Linked DNA regions of Styela clava. The protein of the gene in region 2 purifies or fractionates together with the protein of the main gene of each other region. This does not show direct contact. Links are inferred from orthologs where the notes say so. Each region holds a gene or a part of one and is shown on either strand. Other genes may lie near its edges.

Region 1 (9,064 bases), on a different chromosome or scaffold from region 2:
AAGTACATCATGTGTGGTTGCGGACATAATCAACAGATGATATTCATTACCTATTTGTGCTTAAAAAAAATTGAGATAAAATTTTATGATTCTGGCTAAACCAAAATTAGTTCGTGCATTGCGTTATCTTTAGAAATGGGAATTTGTTCAATAAAAATTGTATTAAAACAATTGTTTGAAATCAAGTTTTTTCAGTCATCAGTCATGGGATTCGAACGAGGCTCGGGTATACACCATTGGGAAGGTAGGCTACAGCCTAGAGGCCCTAACCTCGAGGGCCTTGACAATCAGAAGGAATAATGTCAGATATTTAATCAAGTTAATAATTTCAAATATTTATCGTTTAAAAAATTGAAATACGACCGATTAAATGAATCTGATTAACTTAAAAAAATCTATCCATTTAACCTTAAAAACAAAGTATTTCAATTTCAATATATATATATACTGATTCATATAAGCAACAAAGAATGTAAGCATTATTAGACACAATTTTTACTATGCCAGATCTCACTAAAAACAAGTATTATGATGTCGGATTTTCTGGTGCCATGACGTTTTGTATGTATGTATCTTGACCGTAGCTGAAATTTTGTTCCGAAAATTCCCGTATTACCGATTCCATTGTTCAGCATTGCCTAAAGTGCCACAAAATGGCGTCGTTAGCATATTGTTGGCGCCCATCTACCTATTTGGTTGAAGCATAGAAAATAAATTTTCCTTATTTATTAAATAAACCTAAATTATGGATAAAGGCCAAGCTAGCAAAAGACAACTTGAAGAAGGCAAAAGATTGGCATGTAAATGTCATTTCCTATTTTAAAAATAGCGAATTTCATTTTTCCGCTATTAAATTCGAGCGACTTTTGTGTGCCGTATTGTACGTTCAGCGACCCCGGAAAATCTTTAATAAACGAGTAGCGACCACGCCTGGGGTCGCGACCCACAGTTTGGAACCACTGCGTAAGATAAAGGTACGCCGTGCTGCCGTTAGTGCCGTACGTTACGGTACTGTATTCTGCTTCGCTTCGTTCATGTATTTGAGCATCGCTCTTTTATACTGTACCGTACCGTATGCAGGGTTGTCATATTGGCTTTTTTAACTCCAAATTTGCCATCTTTGGCTCTTTTCAAACACGTTTGGCGTCAGAATTTCCGTTTGGCTTTTTTTTGACTTTTTTAAGTCTATTCTCAGATTCTAGTGTCTATTTTTAAAATCATATTAAATACAATATTTAGTGCAGTAGTGTGTAACAATAGCCTATTGCTGTATTGCTTAGCTAGACTACTTAAAATTTGGATTTCCCCGAGCATCGATTTCCTTGTTTTTTACCTTAACGATTAACCAATAAGAAATAATTGCTGTTTCTGCAGACTCAGACAGATTCAAGTACAGAAGTAGGGTAGGGTTGTGAACATTCTGACATTGCCTCGTTTTTATAGTTTTGTGTGTTAGGCTATTTGTCAGTTTTTAGTTCTGTTTCCAAAAAATAGTTGTATAACTTAATTTTCAATATGTCATATGTAGGGCTTTAGTTTAGTTGCAGTAATCAGAATTGAGTTTCACCAGCGATGTGATTAATTACGCTAAAATTAACTACCTGTACAGCTGTAGGAGCTAAGAGGCACGTTTTTTAATGCTAAATTTGCCATTTTCAGATTTTTGGCTCTTCAAACACGTTTGGCGTCAGAATTTCTGTTTGACTTTTTTACGTCTATTCTCAAATTCTAGTGTCTACTGGTCTATTCTTAAAATCATATTAAATACAATATTTAGTGTGTAACAATAGCCTATTGCTGTATTGCTTAGCTAGACTACCGGTACTTAAAATTTGGATTTCCCGAGCATCAATTTCCTTGTTTATTACCTTAACGATTAAGAAATAATTGCAGTTTCTGCAGACGCTCAGACAGATTCCTGGATTCAAGTACAGAAATAGGATTGTGAACATTCTGACATAATTTTTTAATGAAATTAATGGTTTCAAAATTCAAAAAGTGAAAAATTTTTCTATAGTTAAGTACGGTATACAGCTATATAGGATAGCTAGGGAGAAATTTTTAAGGTAACGGTACCGGTATATCACAAGTTTAGGTAGAAACATGTGGGTACATATATCACATACTGCTGTACTGAAGCGACACCCTGTATTGTATAGGCTAGGCCATATTGCAGTATTGAATTGTAAAATATAGCTGTTCGCTTGATATTTCTTTTTATTTGGTTTTTTGATATTTTTTTTAACTTTTTCATATAGCCTAGATCTGTAGATCTCGACTGCAGTCTACTGCTGTACCGGTATTGTCTGATTGTGCCGAATGTAGATTCTGGTGCTGCCATTCAATTAATCTTTTTCACTTTTAAACACTTCGTCCAGCCGAAGTGGAAATCGCCATGATAGCAACCGAAAATACAACTTTAAATGGGAAAAGACATTTGTGCGGATCACTAAATGAACTGATGGCTCTACATCAGCATCGGTATTGTGCCAAGGGCTTCAAATCTGACAAATCATGGGGCTTTTGTACTTCTGTATTTAGTAAAAGTAAAATTTTTGGCTATTTCTGGCTATTTTATGTCTTGATTTGGCTTTTTTTGATCGCTGAAATCTGGCAACCCTGACTGTATGTTCCAAGATGGGTCCTCATTTAAAAAAGGTAATAGGATATGGCTTAGTCTACGTGTGTATTCTATGTTTTAATTGTGTTTATGAATGTATGAGTAGTAAACTGATTTACGTTATTAGCAAAAAAAAAGCTCGGTGGATCGTTTGGGTCTGACCCCCGCCTGCCAATCTACCATCGCACTTCTAATTACTGTATTCTGAATTACAGTACCCTGTGCAGGTTCGAATGCTGTGAAAAAATTTGTGTGAGAGGAGCTTTAGTACTAGGAACCAGGGGCGCAGCCAGGATTTTTCAACGGGGGGTTACGGTGAAATCAAAACAGTGCATCAAAAGGGCAGTTCACGATGATGTAATGCATTTATAAACTGAAAGGTATGCGTCGTTCACAGCGAAATTCGTTACGTGTGTAGCCCGCCTCTCTTTGCCTGGCGGTGTATGGTGCATATTTTGCAAGTCCTATTTCAAACATCGACCATTAATCCGTAGTCAGTGGGCAACTGTAGTTAGAAATAAAAACATTAAAAATCGCTAAAATTAATTTTAAAGAAATGTGAAACTATTACTTGAAATTTAATGTTAATGAAGGTAATTTTTATAGCCATTTAATGATTTTTTACATGTGCCATGGTCTTGATAGAGTGGCGTGCAAAATCGTACTTTCTAATCGGGTTATTCGATGATTTTAATGAACACCGAATAATGAGTATTGTCATTTTGAACAACATCATTGAGATGTCGGCTGCCAAAACGATCGTCGTGACAATAATTTTTTTTTTTTTGGGAATTTTTTCGGAAGACTGAAAAATCCAGTAACAATGTTTTATTTCCTAAATTTGTCATAATCGAAGGCTGCAGTAAATTTTTTGTCATTGCGATGTTGACGCGCTTTATGCAAAGTTAGGAATTGAAAAATATGATGGGCGTGAAAAAGGGAAGGAAGAAAACATTTCCACATTAATCGTTTCTACCTGTTAGAGATAGCCGTCGGTAAATTCTTACCCTCTAATAAATTCAATTTTTCTTTTCAATGCGCTGTGATTGATTTGAGTGATTGCGCCGGAAAAAGAGAGTCCTTAAATTAGTTGATCACCCTTCTCTCCTTTTGAGCGCCCATAACGGCGGTTAAATTCTTTTCATGTCTGTTTCGTGGAGAGGAGGGAAAATGTGCCTTACTGAATTGCAATCAACGATTACACCTTCTTATTTATCATTATCAGCGCCAATTCAAAGATAGCATGATGTAAAGACGAAAAAAGTCTGGTCTGTGATAACACACAGAATAATATCGTATGGCCGCAAAACCATGATGCGCAACCGTTAAATGGCGCTGTTGCTTTTTTGTAGAAAAAATTTCGCATCAAAAATTGTTTTCAAAGGGGGGGTTATGACCCTGCGAGACAGTCTGGGCCTCCATATCGGCAATCCGTTACTGAAGAATAAAGTAAAAGGAAGTGCAATCTGAAAACATCACCATTGGGTTCCTAGGGGGGAGAGAATAATTAGATTTACCAAAGGATTATATTTTTGACAGTTTTTAGCAAAGAAACGCAATTATGGTCTAATAACGGCCACGATTAATTCCGATTATTATCGAGACAAGCGTGGCTCGATCTGACGTATTGATCAGCCATCGTACCAGACGCAAACTGTGCCCTACTGTACTTCGTGATATTTAATGCTGTAATGATTCATCATATTATTAATGAAAATGAATCTTTGCTCTGACCGTCAGAAAAATACATATTCTTCGAAATTCAAGTCGCCGATTAAATCGTTACTGTCGTCCAAAATAGACACACATTTGGTCAGGTGTCGGGCTGTATGTTGGTCAACGATAATTTAAAAAAGTTTCCACATGTGGTAAAGACATTTCTCGGCCTGAACTATTGATGAACATTATGCAAAACGTATCGACAAGTCTGAGTAGATATATAACGATAACTGAAAATTAAAATTTTGCAATTAAAAATAATTTGTCTGTAGATGTTATTTTATGAGTCTTGCTCACAAAAAATAAACAGGCCGACATACTCGATTATAATTGATTGAGTCGTTGAGTTTATTTTACATTATTGATTAACGCGAGCCCTACCAGGCTCCGGTTGCGGTCACATAAATTGCAGTGGCCTATGTCTGGCCTGTGTTTTCCGCGCTCTCACATTGATAATAATTTGATATTTTTTCATACCTATATTTTGTATTTCACAATTTAGTATTGAAGTGTATAATGCACTAGGCTATATATTTTAATTAACATATACCGGTAAGTATTTAGGTATTACCTAAATTTTGAACAATTCAAGGCAAAAAATAATTTTTTAAATTCTTACATTTCATTGGCTTGTTTGGTAACAAATAAAATCCAATGCTCAGGATTTTTTCAATTAAATACAAAGGCAGTAATACATTCACAAGATTACTTTTTTTAAATTGTAATTCATCAATGTGGCGGAAGAATTCGCACATTTGAATAACAATAAAAACAGAATAGGGTTCGGTATTCGATTTAAGTATTCTAGAATAGTAAATTATTCTATATTGCCCATCCCTACTCTGGTGCAAGGAAAATTTACTTGATTTCATCACAAAGTTTTTTTTTACAATTTATCCTTTAGTTTTATTTATTGTAATGTAGTTAATTTTTAACTATGTCTTTGAGTCGAGTTTTTCGTGTGCTGCATAAGCTAGGACCACCGTACAGTGTGCTTTTGGAGTCTCGACAATTTGAAGATGGACTGTTACTAGAATCAGGAACAGTCGTATCTCTTACTCCGCAGGAGAAAGAAGAACTTAAGTCGGATTATACAAAGGCAATTGATGCATATGGATGTCTTGGAGTTATGATGTTTGGAGATGACAAAGCTGGTAAAGCCCGCAGCTTATACCTGGTGCTTGTGACTGCTTGTATGCCAGTTGGAAAGTTACTCAACTGCGAAGTATTCCGCATTACTGGAGCAAGTTTTTTTTCTTTGCAAAATGGTACTGTAGATGCAGATAGCAGGTGCACAGATGTTAAAAAGTTACTCAGCTCTGGAAAATTTTATTTTACTTGGTCTGCAATGAATGGGAGTGAAATTTTGGATTTGACTGTTTCATTCCAGGATCAAGACAAGAAGAATGATGACCAACGTTTCTTTTGGAATCACCTTTTGCACCTGCATTTCAAACATTTTGGTGCTGATTGCGCCTTGTGGCTCTTCAGAGTTATGTGTGGAGGAATTGACATACGAACTGTTTATGTAGGTGCTCAACAAGCCAGAGCTGTGGTTATATCACGTTTGAGTTGCGAACGTGCTGGCACAAGATTCAATGTTCGAGGTGCGGACGATGAGGGTCATGTTGCAAACTTTGTAGAAAGTGAACAAGCAATCATACTTGGTGAAAATGTTTCTTCATTCATGCAAATTCGTGGCTCTATTCCATTGTTTTGGGGGCAACCAGGCCTGAATGTAGGATCCCATAAAATCAAGATTTCTAGAGGATTTGAAGCATCTGCGCCCACATATGATAGACATTTTTCAAGCATTGTGGATAATTATGGGCAGTGTCTCATAGTTAATTTACTTGGTAGTAAAGGGGACGAGAGCATGTTGAGTAGGCTTTTCCAACTACACCATGAAAAGTCTGCTTTCAGTGAAGAAGTAACAATGTTTTGTTTCGATTATCATTGTGAATGTAGAGGAAAATCTGAAAATTTATCCAAATTGAAAACAAAGATATGGGACAAACTGGAGAGTTATGGATGTTATACCTATAAAGATGATGAAAAGTTACGCATCACTCAAACTGGTGTCATTAGGATTAATTGCCTTGATTGCTTGGATCGTACAAATAGTACAAAAACGTATTTTGGAATGCAGATGTTACCAAAGCAACTGGAAAGTTTGGGACTTGGAAATAATAAGCAACTTGAAGATAGATTCAGAGAGGCTTTCAAAACGGCTTGGCCCATTACTGGTGATCTAATCAGTCGAATGTATGCTGGTACTGGAGCCTTAGAAGGTAAAACAAAATTTAAAGATGGTGCAAGATCGGTGACACGTGCAATACAAAACAATTTTCTTGACCAGAGTAAACAAGGTGCAATTGATTTACTCATACTTGGTACCAACTCAGCAGATATTGAACTGATGGCAAGGGCAAACAATTTAATGTCTGGTGATTGCTTGCGTGCTCCCACAGCGGTTTTGAGAGGCATGTGTGATAAATTCAAAGATTACACATCTATCTTGCCAATTAGAGTTGCCATCGGAACCTGGAACGTAAATGGTGGAAAGCATTTCCGATCACTGGCATATAAAGATCAAACATTAGATGACTGGCTCATCAAATGCGAACAGTCACCAACCAATAATTTTTACAAGGCCTTGTATGATTTTTCCTCTGCCGAAGAAGGTGATTTGTCATTCGCATCAGGTGATATCATTGATGTGCATCATGCCTTGGAGGATGGGGAATGGATGTCAGGTTCCTGCAATGGATGTAATGGAATATTTCCTGCAGCTTATGTCACCAAATTGCTACCAAGATATACTGCTTTGTACGACTTTCCAGCTCATCAGGAAGGCGATCTCGATTTTGTTGCTGGCGACACAATTGAGGTGACTGAAATGACAGGTGAATGGTGGAAGGGAAGGGTTTCAAGAGATGAATACAATCCTGATGAATTGGAAGGAACTTTCCCAGCTAGCTATGTTGAAATATTCAAAGATAGTTTGTCAAGTGACTCCTTTAGCAATCTTGCAGACAATAATGATGCTGAGGTTGACTGGAATAAAGCAATGGACTTTTATGTTATTGGATTTCAAGAGATGGTTGAACTCAGTGCTGGGAACATTGTAAATACAAGCCATACTAATCAACATACCTGGGGAATAGAATTGCAGAAGACAATATCTAACAAGTACAAGTATGTCCTTCTTGCTTCAGAACAGCTTGTTGGTGTGTGCTTTTATGTGTTTGTTCGTCCGCATCATACACCTCATATTAGAGATGTTGAAATTGGAACTGTAAAAACTGGATTGGGGGGTGCAACTGGAAACAAAGGAGGAATTGGTATACGAATGCAGTTTCATAACTCATCTTTGTGTTTTGTATGCTCTCATCTAGCTGCTGGACAAGGACAAGTACAGGATCGAAATAATGATTTTGCTGAAATATCCAAGAAGATGGTTTTCTCTGGAAATAAATCTATCTATTGTCATGATTATATTTTCTGGTGTGGAGATCTGAACTATCGGATAGATATGCCAATTGATGAGGTTAAACAATTAGTTGTTGAAAAGGATTGGAAATCTTTGCAAAGCAATGACCAACTCTGTACAGAAAAGAAAGAGGGAAGAGTGTTCCAGTGTTTTTTAGAAGGAGATACTAACTTTGCACCAACCTATAAGTATGATTTGTTTTCCGATGACTATGATACTAGTGAAAAATCCAGGACACCAGCTTGGACTGATCGTGTGTTGTGGTTTCGAAGAAAATGGTTTGCGGACACTCAAGATTCTGGCTCATCGTTAGTTTCAGTAAGTCAAGATCCAGAATGGAATCCTGGAAAATTGCTGTATTATAATAAAGCTGATATTAAAACTTCTGATCATCGTCCCGTTATAGCGATACTTGATGTCGATATTATACAGTCTGATGAAGAACATCTCAATACAACATTTCATAAATTTGTAGAAGCCCAAGGTCCTCCAGATGCAACTATCTTGATATCATTAACCCAAGAAGAAAATACTGGTGACATTCCACTGTCTGGTGAACTATTTGAAGCAATCATGTCAAGGCTGAACGAAATTGGTGAAGTTATCATCACCCGACACTTCAAGGGGAAACTGATGGTTATTTTCAGTGATGGTACAGCAGCAGTTAGAGCCACAGACTTGAATGAAACTTCTGTTGATGGAACATTGATTTATGTCACATTAAAAAGTAGAGGTTGGGAGGAAGATGTTGAACATGAACTTCGACAACATTCACATTCATTTTCTGCTAATGAATCATATGCTGAAAAATATGCAAACGAGGGGGAACCGTGTCAATATAATTATGATGTGTACCATAATGATGCGGAACATGAAGAAGACAGTTCTGAATCACCAAGGTATGAATATAATACATATCATCAAACAAGTACGCAATTATATGATATTCCTGTTTCGGAAGCCACTGATACAATTAATGAATCAAACAAGGAGGTCATGGAAGATGTAAATGACCCTGGGTGGGCTTTTGAAAGCGAACATTATTCTTACAGCTACATGCCACCAAATCCAGAGTTAACCAAGAAAGTATCAGCACCACCCCGACCTTCTAGTGGACCAGTAAAGAAGCGTGCTCCACCAAGACCAAACACCCTACCAACTATGCCATCAGGACCTCCACCCCTTCCATCGCAATCTCCATCAATAATGCCAGGACCTCCTACAGCAAAACC
Region 2 (9,039 bases):
TTAACAACACAAGGAATGCACAAAGGGATGAAAGAATATTGCTGATGAGAACATTGATCACTGCATTTGCTTTAATTAAGACATCTGTTGTTATTAGTGAAACATTCATTTTACTGACAATAAGGCAATTTATCTTAGAAAATCGTTGATTGAAAATTTAAAACTACTGGGAGATAGAGCATCTGAAACAAATATTTACAGAAACAGAGTAAATAAGCTAGCACTGTGTAAAACATTCATAACCTTTGTGCACGGCACAGTTGTGAAGTTGTATATAATGAAATAATCCACAGGGAATTTAACATTCGCAGACAGAATATGAAGTCAATCTAGATACTTCCCCTCGGTTTTTCACGATTTTAGTATAATACCACCTAACTTATCATATATACCATTTGAACAACTGCTATTTATATCAACTATATTTTACAGATATGCACCGAAATGGCAACTCCAAACTATACAGGGTGTCCATGAGGTCCCTTTACAATTTTGATATGAAGTCAGTTCTCAATATATCCTAACCAGGTTTGTTGTTTTTAAATCAGTAATTGTTCAAGTATTTTTACCTTATTTAATACATATGTAAGGATCAAAACTATATATGGTATCGATGAATTCCCTTTGCAATTTTAAGACTATTTGGACACCCCATATATTGTATGTATCAATCCCATTATTCTTTTCAAATTGTTAGAAATAAAATGTTTCTATTCCACAATTGATAGAATGATCATAATATTAACGGGTTATAGTTTCAAAATGATCAAATTTGTTGATTCAAAATTTGAAAAATATCAAAATCATACAGATACAGGCCTATCAAGCCAATCCTTTACTCACTATTACATTGCATTTGTCAAATGCTAATTCATAAGTTTAACATAAATACAATAGCAGTGGCTAAAAATGAATAAATATATTGGCAATTGGATGACTATATATATTAAATATATATTTGCAAACTCGAAGCGAAAACGACCGACTCATATTATCACAATAGAATCATAACCAGAATAAGGAAATTGATATTGCTGGTGAATGACAAGCATCATGTCAACTTCTATTCAGTACAAAGTAAAGTAGCATTGATCAGTATTGCAATATGGAGTCATTAAAATTGCATGAGGAAGCCTGATTTGGATGACCATTCACTCAAGTAGAAACTAGAAAGTCTGATGTTATTATACATAAAATAAGTTACTTGAGACAAGTAACAAAGCTCACATGGGTTTGGAGTGGTGCAGTTTTATATATATGTGTATGACCAGTCCATAGTACATTTTGCATAAACTGATGATTGAGTGCAACTCAATGATTTAAATCAAGATTATATTTTATTATGATTAAGCGATTATAATTGAATTTCAATCAATTGATTTTCATCGTCTTACCTGTAATACTGCATGTGATTAATTTCTGCTTGAACGGCATATGAAAGAGTTTCAGCTCGTAATTTAGCATTTTCAACATCATCCTCTGTGTATTTTCCTTCTAGCTGAAGACGCATCATTTCTCGTTGCTTGTCTATCGCACTCTTATTATTGCCAAGGATAGTTGGGAAACACGCCATGATTCCTAAATTGTGAAAACACAGAACAAATTGTTAGTTGTAGTTACTAAGTGGACCGAGCTAAGTCTTAGAAACATGATTGCCATTGCACCTTTAATTATCCTGAAAGGGCCCCGCAGGTACAAACCCCATAGGTGACAATTATATGTGTCATAAAAACTAAAAAATGCTCCATATTTCACCAACCATCAACTATTATATGATGCATATATCGCAGGTACCACAATCCACATTCTTTATATTACCAAATTCTTTGTATTAAATACAGTATTTTAGAAGAGTGAATCATTATTTATAACTCATTTTCGAGCAATGGGGTATTTGTGAAGTACAATTATTCGGTACTGCCCATTAGAACCTACATCAATGCATAGAAAATCTTCAGTAAATATTTTCTACCTTTATATTCATTGAGACCATCCAATAATGGATTCCAATCCTGTTTTGGTTGCTCTTGATACATCAACCCAATGTCCTCATAAGTTTTACCTGGAAGAATAGATTTAATTCAGCAATTTAATATACATAACTCTAATAAAACAATTCCAGTATCAGAAAAGGGCAGCCCGATCATGAACTATGACAAGCACAATAATATTGCCGAATATATGGATACAGACTTATTCATTTGAGTGTACAAACTTTGGTTAAAAAAATTGCAATCTGGGTGTTATGGTATACATATGACTTATATTGTCTCAGATTGCAAAGATCAGAATTAATCTGATTTCAGTTTTCCTGAATGGATTTGAAGGTTCATTTGAGCTACACTATTCCCATCAGTCACATTTAATTAGTTAGGCTACTTAATAAACTTTTATCAATATAATATAAATACACATATCCTCTTAATACATTTATTAATTACTATACTTTATACATAAATATGATAGTATAATTCATAATTATACCTGTATGCTTTATTGCCTCTGTTAATGGTGCTGCATTTTGTCGCTTATCCATAGCAAATGAATCTCCTAATGCTCCGAAACACTGTCCCATTTTCTGGTATTCTTGCATTAACGGACCTTGACATTTTCTTGAATAAGCAGCACCATGAGCAACAATTTGCTTTAATGATTCATCCATTGCCCTTGTAAACTGTGAATAGTATTGTAAAGTTTGCTCAGCAGTGGATAATTCCATTCTATTCTCAGTGACAGGTACAATAGTTGTACAAAACGCTCCGCCAACAGCTGGGTCACTTTCAGCTTTTCGTTTTCCTTCCTTCCATGCCTTTTCTGAATCTTTTGAAACAAGAAAGTGTTGAAATACTTCTGACTGGGATATGACTGGATGCAAAGACATTCTAGAAAGCCATCCTTGCAACTGGTGCATTCGTCCTTCTATGAATTCATCTTCATATCTCCCAGTAAGTTGCTTGTCTGGCAATGGAGGAACGGCAATAGTTACATTGAATTTCTTCACAAGCTGTTCCAACAACCAATCAAAGTGTTTGTAACGCCTCGATACAGTCTTCCCTGAATGGCTAGGTGTGATATTATACGTAATATAACTTTTGAACCCAGAAAACTTGCTCGCTTTTTGGGGATCAGATATAGTGCACGTGAAATGTTGCTGAGCAGTATTATCCCACATTGGACCATCCTCTGTTAAAACCATATGAATCTTAGGTTTAGATGATGTATCTGCTTTTATGTCACCCAATATAAAAGATTCAGCCGGAGTAACACTGAAAGCTGAAAAAATGTTTCCGGTGAGACTGCTGAATAATCCTGTATTTTTTGCATTCTTCTTGGGTGAGTCGCTCTCTGATGATTTTTTAGTTGATCCCTCTCGAGCAGGTGATGAGGCTATTGGTACAGGTTGAGAGGTAGCTGTTGGCGCTTGGGCTGAGTAGTTTTGAACACCCCATGACGCTTCCCACTCATCATCATCCCCACCATCATAAACTTCCTCGTGTTGTTGTTGATTATCTCCATTGTATGATGTAGTTTCTTGTGGTTCGGGTGGAGCATAGGATTCATCATATTCTGCATCACCAACAGCACCATTGTCTTGCACCAATTCACAATACGCAGAAGGAAAAAGACCTACTGTTCCATCAGAAGCTTGACCCTCCCACCATCCTTCACCTACATCTGGATTGGTCAATGTCACAATATCTCCTTCACGAAGAGCCAGCTCGTGATTATCAACAATTCCATCAAACTCATACAATACTGTAACTTTATCTCCCACCTGAGCCATACTGATTTTACAAAGATTGCTACTTATTTATAGATGTTATTTAAAAAATAAACCTATTTCTATGATGCAACACAATATATAAGTAAAAGTGCTCTCACTTCTCTTTACAGTTTTAACACATATGGACATAGCTAATACATGGCATGAAAAAATTTAAGTTTTCATAGCACAAATTTTAACCAAACTATCAACCTTGGATAGCCCAAAAAGTGTGACTAGGCATAAACTAGACTGAAGAGAAGATCTAACTTAAAACCATAGAGTAAAAAAACCACAACCACAACATTCAATTTTAAATATCATTACACTGTTACAATTGTACAACCAGTGAATGCCATAGTAATTTTCACGACTGAAATCAAGGCCGATATATTTAATAGAAAACAGGATAAGCCAGTTAAACTGACTCGACGGTGCGGCGCATTGTGATAAGCGTTAGGATTAAGCTTGCCACATCATTTCTGATTACCCTGCATGGCTTCACAGGTACGAATCCTGTAGGGTATAATTATGTGCGAGAGGATTGCTGGACTCATCATAGCCGTAGGGTGATTCACGTAACCAATGGTCACCATCAAGTCCATGCAACTGACAACAAAGAAATAACTGGCTAACTAATCCCATACTGACATGCCCGACATGGACTCGTATCCGGACGAGATGCTGTGGTGTGCCATACTTCCATATGACAGTATGATCAAGCTGTATTATCGGCTTTCCCATTCCCTGGAATTTCTCCTTCTATCTAAGTGTGATAATGACAATCCCAATAGTAATCAAGCATATTGTTCTAAGAATTTAAATATACAGATATAGTTCCAGTAACAATAGACTGTTAGAAAAGAGATTTGCATAATACAGGTAGACGGGTCTTGTGTGGTTTCTTACCACAATAACTTTTAGTGTAGCATATGCAGTATATGATGTGATTATGAGTTGTGACAACGTAGTGACATAATTTTCGGATGACTTAGTCAGGTGGGGGTTAGGAATAACACAAGCAAAAAAGGTTTTATGCCCAGCCCACTAGACTAATATTGTTACTTTTGTAAGTTTGTTTAACAATTATTATTCTCACACAAATTTTGCTTTTTCCAGGGGCATGCTTGTCAGCTTGGAAAATTCCAGTGATTAATAACCACATTCTGACATTCAATATTGCGATGATACAACTCAGCAATACCTGAATACTGCACTAACCTGATACAGTGATAAGTAAACATTATCAAACCATTGTCTGTTGGTCAGTCCTGGTCTATTGTGATCTTCTGCTATTTCTGTATTCTGATACCTGTAGGCCTATATCATTCTTCGACTTATACAGGATTGCGTGTGAGATCTCATACTTTCATCTCTGCATTGAGGCATTTGTTCGCCTGCTACTGCTACACCACCAATTGCCGCTAAATTAATTTCGGATATTACTTCAATTCATGATAGTTACGGCTGACTTGATTTGTGAAAATGAAATCTACTGATATTTCTTCTCTGACAGTTCATCCGACATCGGTCGCGTCATGAGAACATTTGCAGAACTGCGATTCCAGGCGCCCACCAACTTGCTCAAAACTGCAGAAACTAGTTCTGTTGCAAGCAGGGGTGGTTATCCGGATAATGCTGATCGGTTGAACTGGATTTTTTATTACCTTTTGAAACAACAACAAGGAATGGAAAAATACAAAGAATACCAACAACAACATAATAACAAAACGTACGTTCCGTATCCAATAAATAGAAGTAAGGTTAGCAAAATGCGATAACAGCTGTAAAAATATTCCGCTGAAAATTCAACTGGAAATTTTGTAGACTCTTCCTTACGAAACTTCGGCTGTGTTACGACATTTCAACGTAATTATTTGATCAGTTCATCATCAATCGATCAGTTCAATCAATTGTAATCGATGTTCTAACTATCCGGTTAACGGGTTAACTGACCAGATAAAATACAAATATACGAATACATATATCAGTTATCCTAATTTTATTTATAGTTAAAGTTTATTTTTGCGCAAACATAAAGTTAAAACAGGCAAATGGGGAGACACCTGGAACTCGTCCAACACCTGTAATCAATTCAAAACGTAATATGCCTAATGTGCAGTTCAGCGTTCGTCAAAATTAGATAGACTTGTCCAAAAATCAATAGATATGTAAATCCTATCGTATCCAGATCCCTAGTCACAAGTCAAATCTAGTCACTACCGTTTCTGATTATACTAGATTTTATAAACAATCGTGAAATGTATAAAAAGGAGTATATACTACTACGGTTAAGCCAATCTTATTTTGAAAATCATAAGTAGTTACGTTGGCATCAATAAGGCCTATTCCAAGTGGGGTTGGGATTCTGGGGGAGAATTGAAAATTTCAAGATCACAATTTTCTGGGATTAAACAAATTTGAAAAAAGTAGGCTACTAACATAAGCTGAAAATTTGATAAGTACACACATTTATTTCCTGTCAGAAGGATGTTTCTCCAACCCTTGACCTCATAAATATTTTTCGATTCTTATTTTGTAAGATTGCGCTCACAAACCAGTTTGAATTTTCATAAAAATAATTTTGTTTCAAACTATTTAGCCATCCGCTATTCGAAATGATAGCTGACGGCTAGTCTATTGAAAAAATTTTTGGATTTACGTTTAGTTAACTGCAATTAAACTGAAACTCCACGAAAGACCAAAATGACCATTGAGTTATTTTATTTATACCCAAGTTTTGGAATCACAATTAAAAAATGACAAATAAATAGCAAAAACCACGAAAACGATGTAAGCCTATATCGCCATGCCTGAAATTCTGTCTTTGTGAGTAGTCTCTGAGCGGATTTCTAATGTTACAGAAGTAAACAAGAAAGCCGGTGACATCGTATCCTTATATAAAAGTTGTTTGGACTCGTCATTATAATCGGAAAAACTTTGGATGAAAGAAAAGTGATTTTATTAAAATTAAAAAATAATATTTTTGAATTTATTTTCAAAAAATCATTAGCAGACACTATTACACATATATATCTTAAAACAAACGCTGCTATTTTACTGCTGGGTAAATATATTATTTTAATTTAAGTATCCGTATTTATTCAAATTACTTATTCGTGTTTACAAGCAAATTCAAATATAATAAAATTTTAGTATTGACCACAATTGATTTAAGTTCAATGTCTAAATCTTAGTATATATTGATCCGACGAGCTAAATATTACAACACAAATTGTAATTACGAGTTCAATCGTATATCATCGTATATGATAAAATGGATCAAAAAAATATGCGTAAAATGGAATATATATATATATGTGAAACAAAATATAGAAAAATAACCGAAAAAACATTAGTAATCCGGAGGTATCAAAAAGTTGTCAGTTTTCCGTAGGATGATCCCATCTTATCATGGTATGATATAAAGACACATTTGCGGCACTCATTACTGTCGTATATGTTGTTTCTGAGTTAAATACCGGAGGTGTCGACATAACCTGAAAAATACACATTTTGCCGAACAAGCGTATATATCAGACACGTTCTTACCATAAAATAAATCGATAACAAAATAATATTGATTTAATTGACTAAAACAGACCTTATAAAGATTATCAGGATTCATTTTATCTTGTCCAAATTCACTCATGGATTTTACTGCAGCATCTCTCCTGTGATCTGTTGAAGGTGGCGTCTTCCAAGGGTCGTAGTTTGTTTCAACAACAAACCATCTGTGATAATAGTGATAATTAGACTGGCAGCGACAAAGTTTACTAAATTCTAGATGATCAGAATAAAATTCGCTTTAAATAAAAAGCAAATACATTAATTAGGATATATATTATCGTTAAGTCCAGTGGCCCCAGAAGGTGAGTTTCCAAATAAAATTGCAAATAAAAAATGTATCAGCTTTCTTACACTCACTTATGAGAAGTATCTATCATCCTCGTAACATTGACTGCTCCCCATCGATCCCGAACTACTATGGCCCCTTCTTGTGGTTTCAGTCCACCCACTATGAAATAAATCGGTGCAATGGTCTTTGCGTTTTGTAGCATGTCTATTGCAGATTCATAGTTATCAGCCTTTGTAACGACCTATGAAATCAGTATATATTTCGTTGTAATTTAATCACCAAAGGAGAAAATTCCCTACTAAATATGGAAAAAAGTGATTGCTATTACAGGACCTTTTATATATTTGTGAATCAATGTCAATAAATTGCATCAAATCGTTTTTTGCAATAGAACATACTTCTCTTGCCATCAGCATTGTGGGCCATGATTTTTCCAAGGCGGCCAAAATATTCTCCCATAGAAACCCAGTGTTACGCTGATCTCCAGACAGGGAAAATTTGTTTGGCTTTGCTGCCGTCAACAACCCGACATAGCCAACGTATGTTGTTCCAATAAATACAGTCTGCGAAACAACTTACAGTAAATGTTTGCTATGCCTATGAATTAAAAGTACTGTTAAAAAATTTGCAAAGTTACAGCAGTTTTAAGCATAGCCAATAGTTTAATGAACAACTCTTAATTTATTTGTGTATTTTGTGTAGTTAGTGGGAAGCACTTAATTCACAAACCGCCGCTGTAAGATATTGTAAAAAAATATCACGGAGGAAAATATATGATGGGAAGCAGGTTTGAGTATATACATATGTTTTGAGTAGTGTTTGCAACTGTCTTATGTTGTTCACAGGTGTTTACATAATAAGGTCGCAATAAAGGTCATGCTACAGTAAGTATTACAATATTTCAATAATTAAAGTGATGACACAAGTGAAACAATCTAATTGTATGCATTGGTGATAAAGGAAGTTTCATTAAACCAAGCTCAAATCTTGGTGCGTAACATGCAGTATAAATATCCATATTTCAACATAAATCATTAAATATGAAAATGTTTGGTTTTAGCATAATATTTCTTTAGTGCAGGGTAAAGATTTATGCCATCATCATATTTACATTTTAAATATTTTTTTTATTTACACTTTCAGAAATATAAGACAAAGATGGCAAATGAATAAAACTATAAATTTGAGTTGGGTTGCGCGAGACTAACTTCCTATCTTTTCTCTATGCCTTTATGCTAGTGGATCCGTATGCGTATACTGCAAGGATAACGTAGCTGGAATAAATATGACTATTCTATTCAATTAAAGAGTCCAGCTGCACACTAACACAAATGTATTTCTGTAACGTTTCGTCCGACCAGAGTCAGACTTCCTCAGACAAGCAGTTTACAACAATGGCTCTGTTGGCTGTTGGCTT

What was found. The genes of interacting proteins can lie anywhere in the genome.
Region 1: the proteins of sorting nexin-9-like (region 2) and synaptojanin-1-like purify together in Homo sapiens (co-immunoprecipitation; 3 studies listed by BioGRID and IntAct, counting the BioPlex papers as one, with this or other methods). This does not show direct contact. The link is inferred for Styela clava from reciprocal best matches to the Homo sapiens genes SNX9 and SYNJ1.

The regions. Positions count from the first base shown.
Region 1 is NC_135258.1:23,400,385-23,409,448, reverse strand, and holds the start of synaptojanin-1-like, read left to right. Parts: upstream 1-5,223; 5' UTR 5,224-5,276; coding exon 5,277-9,064. UniProt on the Homo sapiens protein: Phosphatase that acts on various phosphoinositides, including phosphatidylinositol 4-phosphate, phosphatidylinositol (4,5)-bisphosphate and phosphatidylinositol (3,4,5)-trisphosphate. Has a role in clathrin-mediated endocytosis.
Region 2 is NC_135252.1:5,730,746-5,739,784, forward strand, and holds the start of sorting nexin-9-like, read right to left. Parts: upstream 3,864-9,039; 5' UTR 3,785-3,863; coding exon 2,485-3,784; intron 2,063-2,484; coding exon 1,973-2,062; intron 1,579-1,972; coding exon 1,395-1,578; intron 1-1,394. Other genes in the region: N-acylethanolamine-hydrolyzing acid amidase-like, read right to left, coding at 7,147-7,263, 7,368-7,497, 7,691-7,863, 8,021-8,185. UniProt on the Homo sapiens protein: Involved in endocytosis and intracellular vesicle trafficking, both during interphase and at the end of mitosis. Required for efficient progress through mitosis and cytokinesis. Required for normal formation of the cleavage furrow at the end of mitosis.